4 linked regions of the Drosophila melanogaster genome follow. The protein of the gene in region 1 interacts with the protein of each later gene in a pairwise test. Each region holds a gene or a part of one and is shown in the gene's direction. Other genes may lie near its edges.

Region 1 (3,398 bases):
GGATTTGCCGCCATGCAGAAGAAGCCGATTAACACCAACACGCTGCTGGACAAGCTGCACCGCGGCGCGGTGTATGCCTGCATTGGAGTCACCCTGTACGGCACCTACATCCTGGGAATGCGCTACTACCACTACTGCACGGTCATCCGACCGGAGAAGCAGCAGGCGGAGCTGAAGCTCCTGGACGAGGGAGCCCACGACAAGGCCAAGGAACTGAAGTACTAGGCGCGCCCTCCTCCGCCCCTTTAATTGTTAAATGTCTGTTAAGCGCAATAAACTGTAAGGAAATGTAAGCATTTTCAGCTGAAAACGGCCAACGCCGGTTGTTGTTGTGTAACCTCGGACAGCTGGCCAAAGTGGAGGACCGTCGGCAGGCCCGGTGGGATTGTAAGATTCCAGATTCAAGATCTAACCCTGGAACCAAGCCAACAATGCGCAATTAGCCGTCTGGGCCGTAAATCAAACTGGTCGGCTACAATGGGAAATCAATCAATCGACAGCGACATGGACATCGACCCGTTCGGCGGACTAGACTTAGTCAAGAATTATAATTTAGCTGGCAATCAAATATGTTGTCATCTCCGGATCGTGACCAGGTCCCAGTCCATAGACCAAACCCCTTGGCTGCTTGGTCTTCCGCTTGCCCAACGCGTCTCGCGTGCATTCACCTCCAATGGGCAGAGCATAAATATTAAACGATGTGGATACGAAAACAACCGCGGGGAGAAGGAGACAATGGCGGTGCCACCCACTTTTGGCCAGAGATGGCGAGACGTCGTCGATTGGGAAAATCTTTTGCATGCTTCATTCAACAATGTTGCCTCCGGCGTTGCTTCATTCATGACTTGGGAACTCGGAGCAGCAAAAGCAACAGCCGCAGCAGACTGCAATTGCGATTTGCAATTGCCACTGCGGTCAAGGTCGTCCTTTATTGTGTGGGCACGGCACTGGGTACTGGGTAGCAAGTACCCCCGGCAGACGGAAGTGATCGAGAATAATGGAACGCGCAGAACAGAGTCGTCTGCCCAAATGGCTATCAAATTGTTTTAAAACTTTAGTATATTAAGCAAAAGCTGTGCTCCTCTGAATAGAAGATCTCTTCAACCTAGTTTCAAGCCCATTAAAACTAATGACCATTGACCTGGTCACCGATCCTTGTCCCAATATACCCCTTAAGCCAGAGGTCTCCGTCAAAGTCGTGCACTTTGGATATTCTGTCGATAAGACTTTGCATTGGAAATGATCTGGCAGAGATCTCAGCTGTCTGGCAGCTTAATTAAAATGCCAAAACGCTGCCAAACGTGCAATTGTTTGTAATTTGTGTATAATGCTGGCGCGCATATGCGATTCCCACGGGGCCAGTGGCATCCCAGCATTTGGCCAGCTTCTGAACGAGCTTAGGTAATAGTGCGCCTTTTGGGCGCTGCTGGCCATCCGATCTGGCAGTGAAAGTGTTACACGATATGCATACCGTGTACGAGAGGGGCACTTGGTGATTGTGGAACGCGTCGAGTGTCTCGTGTTGCACGTTGCTTGTGGATCGCGTTGCTGCCCCACTTCGGTTACCCAACGAGCCTGGGATCTTAGAATTTCGACTACGCTGGCAATTATAACCGATATCGTTAGTTTCCACGCCCACTCCACCTCACTCCCCCCACTGCAATCCTCCGCCAAGTTCTCCTCCGCCGGATGAGCGGATGGATGACCTTTTGGCTCCGCAGCATAAACAATATTCGGTTTCAAGTCCTCAACCCGTCATGCATTCAATTCAGCTGCAACAATCGCTGCTGCTGCTGCTGCTGCCGCCGTTATTGTCAGTTTGCATAATTGCAACTGTAGCAGCAACTGGCAACAATAAGCCAAGCCGGGTGACTATAAAAGCGTCGGGCCACTGGCAGCCATCAACAAACCTCGCCTGGCGCCCTACCCATCAAGTCAACCAGCCAACAGCCACTAGCAACATCTGCAGCAGCAACATGAAGTTCTTGGTAAGCAGCAACACCAGGACATTAGGATACCAGGATACCAGGACACCGGTCAAGCAAACGAGTGGACTTTTTTTTGAGTGACAGTTTATCCAACAAAATACAAGTTATTTAAAATTGCTGGAAGTGCTCTGGCTACAATTTGAAACAAATCATTTGTTAACATCGTTTCAAATGTTTCATATACCGAACCTTTTTTTCTCTGTGCAGTGCGTGTTCGTCATCCTGGCCATTTGCTTCATGAGCACCTGGGCAGCAGTTTCGGAGCCTGCTCCTGAAGCTCTGGAGCCGGAGCCATCCGCCGTGGATGAGAAGAAGACGGAGAAGAGAGGCATCTACGGGTTCGGCCACGGCTATGGCGGCTACGGCGGATACGGCGGATACGGTGCCTATGGACACGGTCACTACGGCGGCTACGGTGGACTGAGCAGTCCCTACTACGGCGGCTACGGATACGTCCATGCGGCGCCCTACTACGGCGGACACCACGGCTACTATCCGTACCACCATGGCCACTACGGCTTCTACTAGGACCACTACCTATCCCCAAGATCGTAATGCATACTGTTTTTTTTTTCTCGATCGCTCCATGCTCATCACTGCACCATCATTCGTATATGTATATGTACTGGTTTTCCCCCATCATTCACCGCAATATAAATGTACTGCAAATAGCGAATACATTACTCGCATGTCTTTGAATTTGGGTTGGATGTAGTACAAATATGATATATGTACATATGTAAACAAAGTTAAATCCTACTCAACAATAAAGAATCGATTACATTGCATATGTATGACAGTAAAAGTGATTTTCGGTCACTCTATGGGGGCCAGTGAAGGTATAAAGCCGCTATTGGCCCAGTGACTGTTATACAAAAGTCACTGTTCTAATTGCGATCGGCGCGTGACCACCAGTCTTTCGGATCATCAGCAAAAATCAGGAATTCGACTTCGAGATGCTGAAGCGCGATCTGCAGAAAATCACACTCAAGCTGTCCGATCTCAAGGACTATGAGGTTGCCCGCCAAAAGAACAAGTTAAAGGGCGCCCCGCGACCTAGGCTTTCTCAGGACGCCCTCCCCGGAGACGACGCCTCCACTTCGGGAACAACGGCAAGTTGCAGTTCCAACACGGAAACGGCCACGGAAACCGCATCGGGATCCGGATCAGGGTCTGGATCGGGCTCGGGTTCTGGGTCCGGGTCGTACATTACGGGAATGGGCTACCGTTCGGAGACACCCTCCTCCGCATCGTACACCACGTCGACGACCCCGACTCCGGCCACTCAGGAGGAGATACTGAGACCCTCGTCCGCCGTCACGGCCACCACAACCACTGGCACCACTAATTCCGGCTCCACGGATGACGTGAGCGTGGCGGCCGTAGTGGATGACACGGATACCATTGACG
Region 2 (2,923 bases), on another chromosome or scaffold:
CAATGAATCCACCTCCACCTGCTAGGCCAAGAGCTTGCGGCTGCTGTTGGATGAGGGGCACCTGTTGCACGACGGGAACCTGTTGGACAACGGGCACTTGTTGCACAACGGGAACCTGCTGGACTCCTCCGATGCCACCAACTCCGCCAATGGCTGCCACTCCTCCAACCGCTCCGATTCCACCTCCTCCCAGGGAATGGGCTTCAGTCCGCCAAGCGCCAATTGCCAGTAATAACAAAAAATGCACTTGAAGATCGCACCTCATCTCGGCTGAGTGTCCAATAACGATGTGAGTTACCTTAACTAAATCACCTGGCTTTTAATGCCCAGGCCGGCGACCTTCAGACCACAAACGATGACGATGATGAGGTGTGAACCACCTTACCAGTGGGCAAAACCATGATTCCCCCAATAGAACCGCCAAAACATAGATGGGGCCTTAGAGTTATGGGTTTTTTACCCGGGCGCCCCAATATGCAAATTGGAAGTGCAAACAGTGGCCACTAATTAATTTGCATAAATAAGCAGCTGGGAGTGGGGCAGACCAAACAGTTAACCCCATCATGTTGTGGCAAACTGTCTACCTGCTCGTCTTGGCGTGCGCCGTGGTCAGCACCACACCGATCCTCTCCAGCGTCGACGAGGAGAACATTAGAAGACCCCGTCACATTGGTGGATTTGGAGGTGGCGGAGTCGTTGGAGGCGGTATCGTGGGCGGCGGCATCATCGGAGGCGGAGGAGTTGCTGCCCCCATAGTGGCAGCCCCCGCTATCCAAACAGTTCCCGTTGTGTCCACTGTGCCCATCATCACCACTGTTCCCGTCATACAGACGATACCCAGCTATGGCTACGGATATGGCGGTGGCTATCCCGTTGGAGGAGGATTGGGCGGACTAGGTGGCATCGGAGGCGGCGGATTCGTTGGCGGCGCTGTGGGTTTTGCCAAATTCAAAGGCGGTTTCTTTGGCTAGACGTTTCCGAATAAATCTGAGCGTTTCTTGAGACCCTCTAGTGTAAACAATGGATAAACAAAAAAGTACTGCAAGATCGAGTTTCATTTTGCCGAGTGTTTGGAATCGACAAAGTCGATGAGCTTGCATATTCCGTAGTTAACTGGCTGTTATTTCTGGAAGAGTCTCTCGCTGCTATTTGCTTCCATATATATATGTACATATGTATGTCGAATATCGCGCGAGGCGAGGCGGATGGGCTTTTTAAGTGGTAAACAACAAGCCATCAAGCGATTACAGTGGGTCAAGTTGGCTGGCCTGAAGAGCGGTATCCAATTGTGGGTTATCGGATTGCTAATTGTAGTCTTTATCGACTTTTGTTGATTTGTCTTGTCATGTCAAGAATGTTCGTCTCAAATGGTATCTGGTTACTTGGTACTTCAAATATGGATCTTAAGAATATATTTTACTCTGATTATTATTATAGTAACCTTGCATCATTCACAGTTAATTATCTACCCATTATGATCTCAATCAGTTGCACATCGAGTTACAATCCAAAGAGATCTAGTTTGCGTTCCACGGTTGCCTCACACTTCCGCATCATAATTCATTTTATATACCCATTAAGATTGGGTCAACCTTATGTATTTGTATAAGCGATTTTTTGGGTTTTTCAAACCGACGATTATTCTCGGCGTCTTTGCCTGACTGCGATTGAAATTAGACGAAAAATGTAAAAAAAGACACTCAATGGCAATCAAGAAATGCCAATGAACTGCCTTTGTTTATGACACCAGGTGCTGGGTGTTCTTGGCAAATGTTTGGCTATAAATTAAAGCCCAGCTGGGCGATGAGTTTTAGTATTTGACGAAGTTGGAGAAGGAATACGACATCGAAATGGATCACAAGTGGATAATATTTTTCTTCAGCATTGCTGCTCTGCTCTTATGCAATTTTGTTAGAGCCGATGAAACGGAAACGGAAGTGGTGCAGGAGAAACCAAGCTCTATTCAGCTGCTGGACGCCGGAGAAACGGCCCAGTCTGATTCCACAGACGAGAACGTTAGGAAAGTGCGCCAGTACTTTGGACCACCACCGTTTGGACCACCGCCACCACCCTTCTTTGGACCACCTCCACCACCGTACTACGGCGGCGGCTTTGGTGGCGGATTCGGCGGTGGTTTCCAGAGAACTCGAGTGGTCACCCGCACCCGTTACCGCGGACGCGGTGGTTACTATGGCGGTGGATTCTACGGCTAATCAGTTTGCATGGATTTGATTGTGCTTGATTGTGATTTGTGATACTTCTTTTGTGCTGCCCCATTGGGTGCAATAAAATTGCTTGCCTTATGCAAGTTCATCCAATCGCTTGTTTTTAAGAGTTTATTAATAACACGTTCGATTTATGGCGGGGAAAGCTGAGATCGGAGGTGTTTATAAGGGGGCCACGAGGCTAAGCTGCAGAAAATGTTCCGCTTGCTGCTGCTGTGGATCACTGTGGGGCTGGTGGCAGCTCTGGATGAGCGGGAATTCGATCCGCAGGTGGCACCACCTCAAAGTTCAGGTAACGTGTGTTATTTTGTTATTTGATTATCCTAAAATTCTAATTTTATTCCTTTTCCAGTTCCAAAACCCTTTCAGCTGTGGCGAAGTTTTGCGAGTCATGTGCGTCTTGTCTTTAGTCGTCTTCAACCTAAGTCACCAACTCCGCCCACCGTTAGGACCAAAACGGGTATAACTACCACCACTCCCGAACCTGAACTGCAGTTCTATGGAGCTCTGAATCCCATATACCAAACAGGGAACTTTTAATGTTACTTAACTAAGCTTTATTACGAAACTCTTAGACTATATTTTGGGTGAGTGCTGTTGCTTTAGCGGAACTTCTTGCCGAATAGGCTCTTGAAGCTGCCAAGTCCACCGAAGCCGCCGCCGAAACCGTGTCCTCCAAAACCACCGCCAAAGCCGTG
Region 3 (3,268 bases), on another chromosome or scaffold:
ATGCCTTCGAGTTCGGCGCTTTAATTGAGTAAATTATTGGGGGAAATGAAAATGGTTGGCCAGATGCGAGCAACTTTGTGGCCATGTCTTGCTGACGTGCGGTTATCGTGTGTCACTCGCCTGCGGAAACGGGCTAAAAAGTGGCTCTGCGGTTTGCTTTGGTTATGACAATTTATTGGCCGCCAGCATTAATTAAACGTTAGTCAAGGTCAGGAAACCGCAATTAAATAACGAGCGGATAGTTGAGGAAAAGCGCTCACATGCAAAGTGAAATGTGTGTGTAGCATGCCATGCCATTTTCCGGGCCAAAAGGGGTCGTTTGTAAGCCATCTGAGCTGAACTTCACCTTTGGCCAAAAGTTTGCACACTGCATGCAGTTTATTTGCTTCATTTGAGCTGCTGACTGCCGAATTGAATTGAATTTTGTACCGGCTGCGCCAACTATTTTATCCACTGAAATAAATCGCCGATTAAGCTTAAGTGGAAGCAAGTTTAACTACAGGAAAATTGGAACTATTTTCTGTTGTAAAACTCGCTGCAATTTGTATTTTTCCCATGTCTCCGAATTCGCAATTGAGTTCGAGCATTGCAAAAAAATTGCAAAAAAAGGCGTAAACATGAAAACAAAGCAAAAAAAAAAGAAAATGTTGAATGGAACTATTTCCGGTCCATTGGTTGGCAAATATTTGCTACATTTGTTTGTCATGAAAGCGGAAGAGATATCTTCGGAGCCCAGAAACTCATGACAATTGCGGCAAGATAAATGTGCCCAGCGAGGCGCATGATTATTAATATTATTACGCAGAATTTTTCCATTTTTTCCTGAATTCGCCAGATTTCATTCAATCCATTGAGTGCCGAAAAGTGCTGGAAACTTTCGTCCGAGCTCGAATGGAATTTGAATCTCCTGCGAGTAGCTCTGCAAACAGAGGGCCATGAATCAAGCAAGTTGAGGAGCGAAGCCCCTGGCCAAACAATCACTGCCCCCCCTCTGGACAGCTGGGTCCTTTTGCTCCTGATGCCCCACCAAACTTGTTTTGCACTCTGGGGTCTGAGCACTTGGTCCTGTGGATAAACGTTGGACTCACTTTGACGAGTCCCCTCGTCCTGTTTTCTCCCATCCTGCCAGAACTACGGAACTAATGAGTGGGTTTGACCATACATACTACATTCACTCCCCCAAAGTCATAATCACATGCACACAGACGAGGAGCATCAGGTGCATAAGTCATAAGGCTTTTTGGTGGGCAGCATGGGAGCAACTCTAATTTGCAATTAATGAAGCGCAGAGCCCAGAGATTATAAGCGAATTTCGGAAATTATAAGCTCTAATGGCAAACAATTAGATGTTGTGCACTAAGAGAACATCAGATAAATAGCACAATTCATATCCTATATATCCTGCTGGTTTATTCACGAAGGAATGAACAACCCACTTTTGTGAATCATTGTTTTCAAGTGTGAAAAGATGTTTAGAACACGATCCGCTCTTATCTTGGCGCTAATGTTGAATAGTGTTTACCATTTTCGCACATATGACACGGCTTGTTTTTGGCCAACTGATAAGCGGAAAGTGGCTCGGACGAATTCCGCTAATTGGCAGGCGATAAGCGATGTGTCCGAGAAAAGGGGAAATGCATGTAATTGACTCTGCCGCCGATGGGAGGGCCATAAAAGCAGGTGATGAACGGCGGGTTCCGGCCACAGTTAACTTGAATCTCGGCCAGCTAAAAAGGAGACGATGGACGCGAAGACGTTGATACTGTTGACCGTGGCCGTGGCCATATTCGCCTGCCACACGATCGCACAGCCACATTACATTGAGGTGTCCGAGGAATCAGAGGAATGGTGTCCACCAGAAAATAACAATACCGATAATAACAATCCGAATAGAACCGATCACGACTCCGCCCTGTGCGCCAACTTCCAGCACATTCGCGCTATGATCAATCAGGAGGCCCTGCTCAATCTGATCGAGGTGCACTACAATTGTGATCTGAAGTTCCGCCGCGCCATGCGGTACTACAACACAGCCGGATTCGAGAGGACCACCCAGCAGCTCACGGATACGGATGCCTACAAGACCGTTCTCAAGGAACTGCAGTCGGAGAGCGTGGATACCGCCGACATTGAGACCGTGGCGGATATCTTCCATTGCATCATACTGCCCGTCCGCCAGCCCGATCGCAACTGCGACTGCAAGGCCGTGAAGCACCACACCTTCGTCGGCGATCTGCTCTCCATCATGCCGAAGCAGGAGGTGCACAACTATGTGGCACAGTCCCAGGCGAATCACACCAACTTCGGCAACTTCACCAAGGCGGTGGTCTCCAAGCAATTCCAGGCCACGCTCAAGGCCAACATTGTGAGTAGACCCACTCGAGTTGAGTACACAAGAGTGTGGCAGTGTATTAACTCCTTTACTTCTCATTCTCACTTCCTCAATTATCCTGCAGAACAAGCGCGACGTGGTGAAGCCACTGCGCACCCTGCGCAAGAACGGCTGGGACATCCCAGAGCTGCTACGCGCCATGCTGACCATCTTCCAGTGGTGAGTGGAGTACTCGTAGCCGGAGTGGAGTATTCAATGTGTCTCCATTGTATGTATGTAAGCCCAATAAAGCAACAAGTGAAAGGAAACTGTTCCGCAGAAGCGAACTCACGGTTGACACCTGTCCTGTTTGTTGGGTGCGGAATGTTGTGTGGCAGTGGGTGGTGCAATTACCACCCGCCGTGCCCGGTAGGACATCAACAAGTTTTCAGTACGGCCTCGTCGCCTTCAGCGGGCTCCACTTGTAATTGGCATCCATGGGTGGTAACTGCAGCGGAAGTGTCGAGGAAGGAAGGATTCGTGTTGGAGATAATCGATCCACGACATTTTACGTGGTTCTTTTCATTTCAAACCATTCCGCCTGCAGCCATTTCCATTTCCATTACCCGGAAAACCTGAAGTTGGCAGCGTATATTGAGGCTGTTATCTACAACTTTCTTGAAGTAACTTTGCATTATTACTTAGGCAGCTCTGGAATATTTGAAATTTGTTCTTTGAGTCGCGGAATTCAAAAGTGCGCCATAGTATATTTTAAATTGTTTGATTTTACATTCAGCCACGGAATTTCTTTGGCACACAACTTACACCTTAAAGCCAATTGTATTACTAGTAGAGGCCTCCCATGGATTGCGAGTGCTTTCCCATTAGGGACAACCCTCCTGCGCCACTTGGCTGTCCCAGCTGGGTATTTGATTTGCCATCAGTCTTCCGTGTTTA
Region 4 (7,907 bases), on another chromosome or scaffold:
TTTTGGAAATGGAAAACTGGGTTGCTTTACTCAGAGGAATGCTTAATGCTTAGTTGAAAATGCTATGTGCGTTGGTTTAACATCGAAAACAGCTAGCATTTGTTTCACAACGTATCCTTAAGTTTCTGGACTTGAAGTCTTGTTTCCACATACGCGCAATATGATGTTCCTTATGTTCCGAAGGACAAAGCCACCACCAGCCCAAAGATGCTATGCTCTCCAAGGTTTTCGCACCCAAGTGCCAAATTCGAGATGTCTCGTGGTCGCCAATGTATGGCCCCAGAAAAACCCAAAGTCAAAGCCCTGCTTGAAGAAGTGATGGGATACAATGAGTATTGTACGTATGTTCAACCCAAGCGTTGCTCGGGGACATCCAAGTTGATTTTTCGACGTTCTCAAACAATGGTGGCACTTTTTTGCTTTTTCATTGCGCATCCACTTAGCAGTTGGTGATTTTCAAAATGAGATAACACCTCACATTTTGGGGATCGGCTTTTATATTTGAACCTCAGCTCAGCCGAGCAACGCGACAAAGCTGAGAAGAAAACGATGGAAAATCGTTTGAAACGCAGGAGATTATGCTTGATGATGGGGATAAAAGTGAGGAAGGTTATTGTGGAGCGCCACAAATTAATTTGCACCTTTCGCCTCTGTCGCAGCGCTGCAGCAGCGCTGCAGCAGCGCCGTCGACGTCGGCAGCCGGAGAAAGTTGCACATGCAAATCTAAAAATGAAAGAAAAACTGAGAGCGCTGTCGGCAATTAAAGGCAACTCCGTTGCACTGAGATGAAAATGAAGCATAACTGCAGTGTTAAAGGTTTAGATTAATTACGGACATCCATTTGTTTAAACTCTTGAGGTAAATTGTTGTTATTAATTAAAATGAAATTGAATTAAAATGCATTATACAAAACACTACAATTTTTACGAAAATGATAATTTGTAAATATATATATTATATATATAGAAACATTATCTGATTGGAAAAGTGCAGCAAACTCAAACTCTTTTCATATTTGATGCATCTCAATGTGCCAGAGGGAAACTTTTCCGCCTTTTTCGAATTTCCCTCAATCGGCGGGCAATGGCAATGTCATAATATCAGCGCTTAGGCGCATTTTCTCCGATTCGCTTGACTGTGCGCACATATTGTTCATATATATTTAGTGACTGTGTGTTTAGCGGGCACAACGGTAACCGTATTTGTCATTTATTTGCACTTCGCATTCGAATGAATGCCGCTCGCCAAGAGGAAGCGGAAACAAGTGCAGTCTGCAGCGGTAAAGCGCATTTGGGTGTTTGATTGTGTTTCACACAGTTACGACGACTTTTCGAGCATGTAAAAGACAGTCGTTAAGTAAATAAAAAAAGCTAATGAATTTAAAATCCATTTCAAAATATCGGAGCGTAACGACTTAAATAGTGTGGCAACGCTAACAGAGTGTGCACTCGCTATATGTTAAGGTGGGTGTATTCGCTATTATATCGATAGAACTAGAAGCATTAATAATATCAGTAGTTTTCACACTGGAAAATTTCAGTGCTGTTAAGACGGCGATAGTTAAACAAATATTAATACAAATTGTGCCATGTTGCTGTATAATAAAATGGGGACTTAAAACTATCTTAAAAATGTCTGCAGAGAAATGTCCAAATTTGTATCTTCTTTTTAAGTAAATTTGGTAATAGCGGTCTGGCAGTACTGCCTGCCGATAGATTCAATGTGCCCAGTCTCTGTTCTGCATTGAGTAGTGTTTACTCGCTGCAGAAAAGTTATTGGCTTTGGTTTTTCATAATGGCATAAACATTAAACGGAAACGTACATGATACCGCAAACGCCGAGCTGGTGCACCGCTGCAACCGACGAGGACGTCCGCCCGCGCAGCCCAATCAATATTACCGCTCGGCAGGGGAAAACGCTGCGTGGATACCCAGCAACACCGCGCCGCCATTGAGAGAGCAGAAAAAGAAAAGCGTGTGCGCCCGCAAACAACAAGAAAGAATCATCGAAAAGGGGGACGGAGTGAGGGGCAAACCGATTTGAGGTCGCCGGATGTGAAAATGTCGCAAGCAGCTGGAGGATCTGCCGTCGGAATGGAGCAGCCAGCCACTGGCAAACAGTTGAAGCCCCCGGAGGATCTCCAGGACAATGACACCAACAGTCTGGAACCGGGCGAGGTGGTGACCCCGCCCCATTATCATCCCAGCAGTCCGGCAGTCAAAAAGCACCTGTCCAAAGAGCTGATGATAAGCAAAACATTACGGAAGCTACCAGTTAGCGTTGTGGAACAGGCGCGCAAAGAGAACGGATCTGGCGGGACACCAAATGCCCAAGCCGAGGATGCGGACGATAGCGAAGGCCTCTATTCGGAATCGGACTCCTCGGGGGAGGACCTCAAAAACGTAGAAGATGTGCAGAAGGCGAGGAAGGAAAAGCAGGAGGAGGCTGCAGCTGCTACCCTGCCCCAAGCACCGCCCACGCCGTTCTTGGGCATTAATCCGCTAAGATTCCACATGAGAGCTCCTTGCTTTGAATTTCCACGCATGGGCTTTATGCCCCGAATGAACAGGGGCGGACCAAGGGGCATGCGACCAACATTCTTTGGTCGCCCACCCGCAGCGAATCGCATGGGAGCTCCCATGATGGGTGGGCTACCAACGCAAGGACCTCCGCCGGGAGCGTATGCACCTCAAAATCCACCACCTACAGGTATTAACAGCAATTCAGGTCGTTGCAAGCGACTCCAATCGGATGTGATGTAAGTAAATTCCATATTTATGTAGAAAGTTAGGTTTAATATGATTAATTTTAGTTGGACAGCATTGCAACCGCCAGTGTCCTTTGTCTTTAATCTTGTTTCCGAGTGCTCCAATACAAAGCATGAGAACTGCAGGACTAAAGCGGAAACTACTGACCACAACTCCAAGGAATCAAAACTTCCCAGCGAAACAAAGTCCACTGAACCCTTAATTGAAAACAATCGATCGAGAGAGTTGCCCCAGCACAAAAATTACGTCAGAGGAAAAACAAGTAATCGATCCCATGACAGAACCCAAAATCGAGGAAGAACTAGGGAGAGGTCGAAAGAATCGCACGGAAAGTCCACTGAAAACTCCAAGAACAAGGATGAAGGCAGAGGGAAAGGAAGAGAAAGAGATTTGTTTCGACGGAAAAGTAGAGAAAGATCCCAAGATAAAAATTTAAATAGAGCAAAAAGTATGAATCTATCTAAGGAAAAGGATGAAGTTGGAGGTGAGCCTAGAAATACAGCGAGTGGAAAGTCCCAGGAAAGAGATCAATCCAGAGGTAAAACTAAAGACCGATCTAGGGAGAGAGATCGGACTAGGAATAAAACACGTGAAAAATCACAAGCCAGAGATCAAACCAGAAGTAAGGCAAACGACGCGGAACATACTAGAGCAAAATCAAGGAAAAGGTCCAGTTCAAGGGATAAGCGTCGAGAAAAATCAAAGGAAAAGCTAGGCGATAAGGAAAAGAATGAAGACTTATCCAAGGAAAAGCTTGAAGGAAAATCTACCGAGCATAGCGAAAAAAGAAATGAATCCAAGGTTAAAAATAAGGATACGAATGAAGAAAACGCAAATAAAAAGCTTCGAGAGCGTTCCAAAGATAGAAACCATTCTAAGGAAAGACTGCATGAAAGAACGCAGAATAAGTCTGAAGAAAGAAAGCCTGAAGCAAAGAAAGTAAGAAATGCAATAGAAAATTCAAAGGAAGCGCCAACTGATCGCAAAAAGGACAAACTCTTGGGGCCATTGGGAGAAAAAACAGACGAACGTTCAAAGGACAAGCAAATAAAGCGATCGAGAGAACAATCAGTAACGAAATGCCCAAAGGAAAGCGGCAAGGACACATTAATGGAGCATCCGCCACAAGAAAATGGATTGGATGGCTCCAAGAGATCAAGCATGCCGCATGAATCCTTCAGTGAAAGTGCAAAAACAAGAGAACACGCATCAAGAAGAAAAAATCAGACGCTTTCGCCTTGGGGGAGCAGGGAAGGAACTCCCCCAATGACACCACCACAAGTTCAGATCCCTCAGACTCCAATTGTTGATATCGCAAATCCCAAGGACTTTGATATTTTTGCCGACTCACCTCCACGAGTAAACACTGCCGTTTCAGCTCCAGCTGCAACTATTGAAAGGAGTACAACGCCGCCGTTGAAGTCATCCATTCCTATTGTCCCCATCGCTAAAGCCGACAAACTGGCTCCTCTGCTCAAGGCCAGTGAGATTCACAGTAGGATTGGCGCCCTGCTCGAGGAGAGCGATTTGCATTTGGATAATCTACTAGCTACTAAAGAGCAGTTGTTCCGTCGCACTAATGAATACAAAGAGAGAAAAGAGGCTCCCAAAGAGATTAAAGCTGAATACCTTCCGAATAGCAGGCATAATAGATCTGCGACTGGTAGGGCAGAGGTCGAGCATCACAAAAGCCAACCACGACATATAAATCCTTTCAAGCGCGAATCAGTATTAAGCGGGAGGAAATCCTCCTCTCGCCCTTCAAGCAAGGAGAGACGATTTCAAAGACACGACAGTGAGGTTGAGAATTGGGATAGGGATCTAGAACTCGAAAGAAATCAATTAAATGGCAGTCAGCTAACTGGATTCCAACCAAGAAAGAGTGATGAGTATACAAAATTCAGCATTAAGAAAGAAAAAGATCTTACACCCCCGCCTCTGCAAACGAACTTTACTCGAACCACTATAAAAATCGAACGCAATGCAACGCCTCCCCGGCACATGGAGCACGATGTGCTGGTTAGAAACGGTGCAGTGGCGACCAATGCTCCTCCACCGGCAAAAGAGCAGGAAAGTCCCGATACGGATGACTACATCGACAACTGGGAAAACGACGATTCATTGGCCAGTATGCCCAAGAACGCACCTCCTGTTACTCCTACTCCCGCTCCAAATGCAAACGCATCTCTTAACGCTACACCCTTGCCACCAGTAGCTTCGCAATTTAATGGCGATGATGACGATGATGACTCCAACGCTCTGTGGAATGCAAAAAGCACACCTCCTCCGCGAAGGAAAAATGAGAACCTGCCCGAGGGCAACATCCATGAACTATATGACAAATTCATGAATAGTATTAAGATGTCCAACGAGCATTTGGAGCCAGAAACGCTGGACACCTCAAAGAACAGTTCCTTGAGCAATTCCCCAGCCGAAGAAAGTTCCTCGGGCACTGAGACTTCCTCAACAAGTAGCAGCAGTAGCGAAACCGAGGATGACTCCAGTTCAGATGACGATGCCAATGAAAGCTCTTCGAATGATGAATCGGCCACAACATCCGGTAATTGCAACACAAATCAGGATGAAGCCGCTGGTAAGGAGCAGCTGCAAAAGAAAAACAATGTAAGCAAGGACCTACGGAAATTAAAGAGCCTTGAAGACAATCTGGCTAGGATTCAGATGATGCGTGAGAACTATGATGCGGGCGATGAGATCTCTGAAGAACTGCTAAAAATGGAATCCTTATTTCTAATGCAGCGCAATGCCATCATGGATAAGTATCGCAAACAGGAACTTAAAAGCAATTCCAGTGAGGATCAGCAGCCAGTGGATGAACAGGGAACTGTTCAGGCACAAGAGGTGGTTAAGGAAACATCATTTCCTGTAAACAGCATCTTCAGTGCCAATCGGGAAGCCATCAAACTGACCATCTCGCCATTGAAGTTGACTAGGAAATCTGTCATCTTCGACAAGGATGAAGCAGATCTACCGGAAACATCCAAGGCGGAGCCTCCCAAACAAACTCTGCAAAAGCCACAAAAGGAGATTGCCATTGTGAAACCCACCATTGTCGAATCTCGATCAAAGCCTAAGCTAAGGAGTCCGCCACCATCATCAGGAAGTCGTCGTAGATCCCGGTCCCGTTCTATTTCAAGAAGTAGGGCACGACGTCGCGGCTCGAGGACCAAGTCGCGTACTCCCAGCCCCAGACGCCGACGTCTTCCATCGCCCAGAAGAGTTTCCAGATACGCTAAGCGAATAGGAGGAGGAGCCGTCGGAGGAACTAGGAAAGGCAGGAGTCATAGTAGAAGTTTAACAAGGAGTCGAACGCGCAGTAGGAGTCCAAGTAGACGAAGACGGTTGCCACCAGCAGGGCATAGAAAACGAGGTTCAATATCTCCTATTCCACAAAAATTGGCTGGACCTCGGTCACCACCTCCTTCCCGCCGTCGTCAATCACTAAGTCGTGATCGGGAACGTGAACACTTATCTCGCTCCCGTTCGCCCTTACCCTTCAAACCACCGTCTCCTCCGATGAGACGCAGTTGGTCCAAAGCACGATCACCAACCAGAAGGAGATCGTTTTCCAGGTCGAGATCACGGTCTATATCACCAAGGTCTCGATTATCAGCAGAGGAAGCTTTCGCTAATTATTTTGAGGAAAATCAGGGCATGGAAGCGGCTGCCTACTACTACAATATGTCATTGATGCAGCAGGAGGATCAGAACGCATTGGGTGAGGGCTATGATGCTTATGCCGCATATATGGACTCCGCGTACAACATGGAACAAGCGTATGCACAGTACTCTGAAGAATATTCGAATACGTACATGGATTATATGGTCGAAGTAGCTTCTTCACCTCAGGCACCTGGATCGGTTCTTAGGGAACTACCTATGGCGCCGATGATGCCCGTGGAATCCCTTGCTCCTATAGCGCCATTGGAGGCAATGCCATCGATGGCGGCTACGGCGTCAGGGATGCCAGTGGCCGTACAAAAAGGAAACGTTTTGGAGATAGTACCTTCTGGGGAGGATATACTGGAAGCAGAGGAGAACATAGTGCCAGATGCAACAGATAAACCAGTTGAGGACACGAGGTAAAACAGGGTTTTAAATTTATTTATATATAGTAATATATATAGTAACAATGTAATTATTTTTAGCAAACCAAAGGGAAAAGGCGTTAATTTCGTGGATAAGGTGCTGCCCGCATACGAGAGCGACAACGAAGACCGGGCGGTCGTTGAAATGGCGGTGAAACGTGCCCTGCGGAAATATCACGAAAGTCGCTCCCAAGCCGCCGCCAAGCTGCAACTGATTCGCGATGAGCTACTTCTGTTGCCTCCACCACCACCGCCTCCACTGACAACCAAGCCAGCTAATCTGGAAAAGCCTGTTTTGGTGCAGAAGAAACCGAAGTTCCGATACTTTCATTTTGATCCTTTCAAGTGTGCAATAGTGAAGACGTACACACGCACGCTGCGTTCAGCCTACCGCCCTCCATTCGATCCCAAGCATTTTGCCATGCTAATGAAGACCGGTCGCCTGCCGCAGATTCCTCCAGGATTCCTGCGACACCGCCCACCATTTATACCTGCGCATGTCGATGCTGTCACGAGAGGAGCAATGCTCAAGGAATTCTTTAGCAAACATCCTCCACCGCCCCTAGCGATGCCCATGCCTGTACCCAATGGGATGCCCTATTACCTGAGTGGTCCGCCGCCAACGTCAAGTGGAGCTGCAGTTTCTCCTGTGCCTGTTAATGTCCTGCCACAACCCATACCCGTGTTGGATGGAAGTGGTTATCAGGGTTATCCTCAGTCGGCTACAATGGTACCATTACCTGTTCCAGTTCCTGTTCCAGTGCCGCTACCTGTGCCCTTGCCTGTTTCTACTGACACGACGCCATCTCCCGCGTTGGAAACTCCTTACTTCACACCACCACCTCTGCCCGAGCTGCCGCCTCTACCCGAACTGCCGTCTCAATTCACCGTGAGTTCAGTGCCCACAATAACGGAGATAATGCCAGTGGATATACTACAGAAGTTGGGACCGCTGCCCAAGACCTTGGACGTTGATGACGGAGGTGGAACTGCCAGTCCGGAGGATATTAGCGACGATCTCAAGGAGGTTGAG

What was found.
Region 2: the proteins of CG17777 (region 1) and CG13227 interact in a two-hybrid assay, tested with the Drosophila melanogaster proteins (one large-scale study listed by BioGRID).
Region 3: the proteins of CG17777 (region 1) and CG3906 interact in a two-hybrid assay, tested with the Drosophila melanogaster proteins (one large-scale study listed by BioGRID).
Region 4: the proteins of CG17777 (region 1) and l(3)psg2 interact in a two-hybrid assay, tested with the Drosophila melanogaster proteins (one large-scale study listed by BioGRID).

What each region holds. Positions count from the first base shown.
Region 1 is NC_004354.4:2,184,953-2,188,350, forward strand, and holds CG17777 (uncharacterized protein), read left to right. Parts: upstream 1-1,902; 5' UTR 1,903-1,976; coding exon 1,977-1,988; intron 1,989-2,195; coding exon 2,196-2,516; 3' UTR 2,517-2,789; downstream 2,790-3,398. Other genes in the region: CG17776 (uncharacterized protein), read left to right, coding at 13-225; CG3457 (uncharacterized protein), read left to right, coding at 2,945-3,398.
Region 2 is NT_033778.4:11,233,440-11,236,362, forward strand, and holds CG13227 (uncharacterized protein), read left to right. Parts: upstream 1-1,812; 5' UTR 1,813-1,850; coding exon 1,851-2,213; 3' UTR 2,214-2,316; downstream 2,317-2,923. Other genes in the region: CG13218 (uncharacterized protein), read right to left, coding at 1-265; CG13228 (uncharacterized protein), read left to right, coding at 564-971; CG34223 (uncharacterized protein), read left to right, coding at 2,421-2,517, 2,578-2,765; CG13217 (uncharacterized protein), read right to left, coding at 2,828-2,923.
Region 3 is NT_033778.4:23,510,674-23,513,941, reverse strand, and holds CG3906 (uncharacterized protein), read left to right. Parts: upstream 1-1,716; 5' UTR 1,717-1,741; coding exon 1,742-2,365; intron 2,366-2,456; coding exon 2,457-2,555; 3' UTR 2,556-2,656; downstream 2,657-3,268.
Region 4 is NT_037436.4:5,581,947-5,589,853, forward strand, and holds the start of l(3)psg2 (lethal (3) persistent salivary gland 2), read left to right. Parts: upstream 1-1,722; 5' UTR 1,723-2,060; coding exon 2,061-2,758; intron 2,759-2,812; coding exon 2,813-6,868; intron 6,869-6,934; coding exon 6,935-7,907.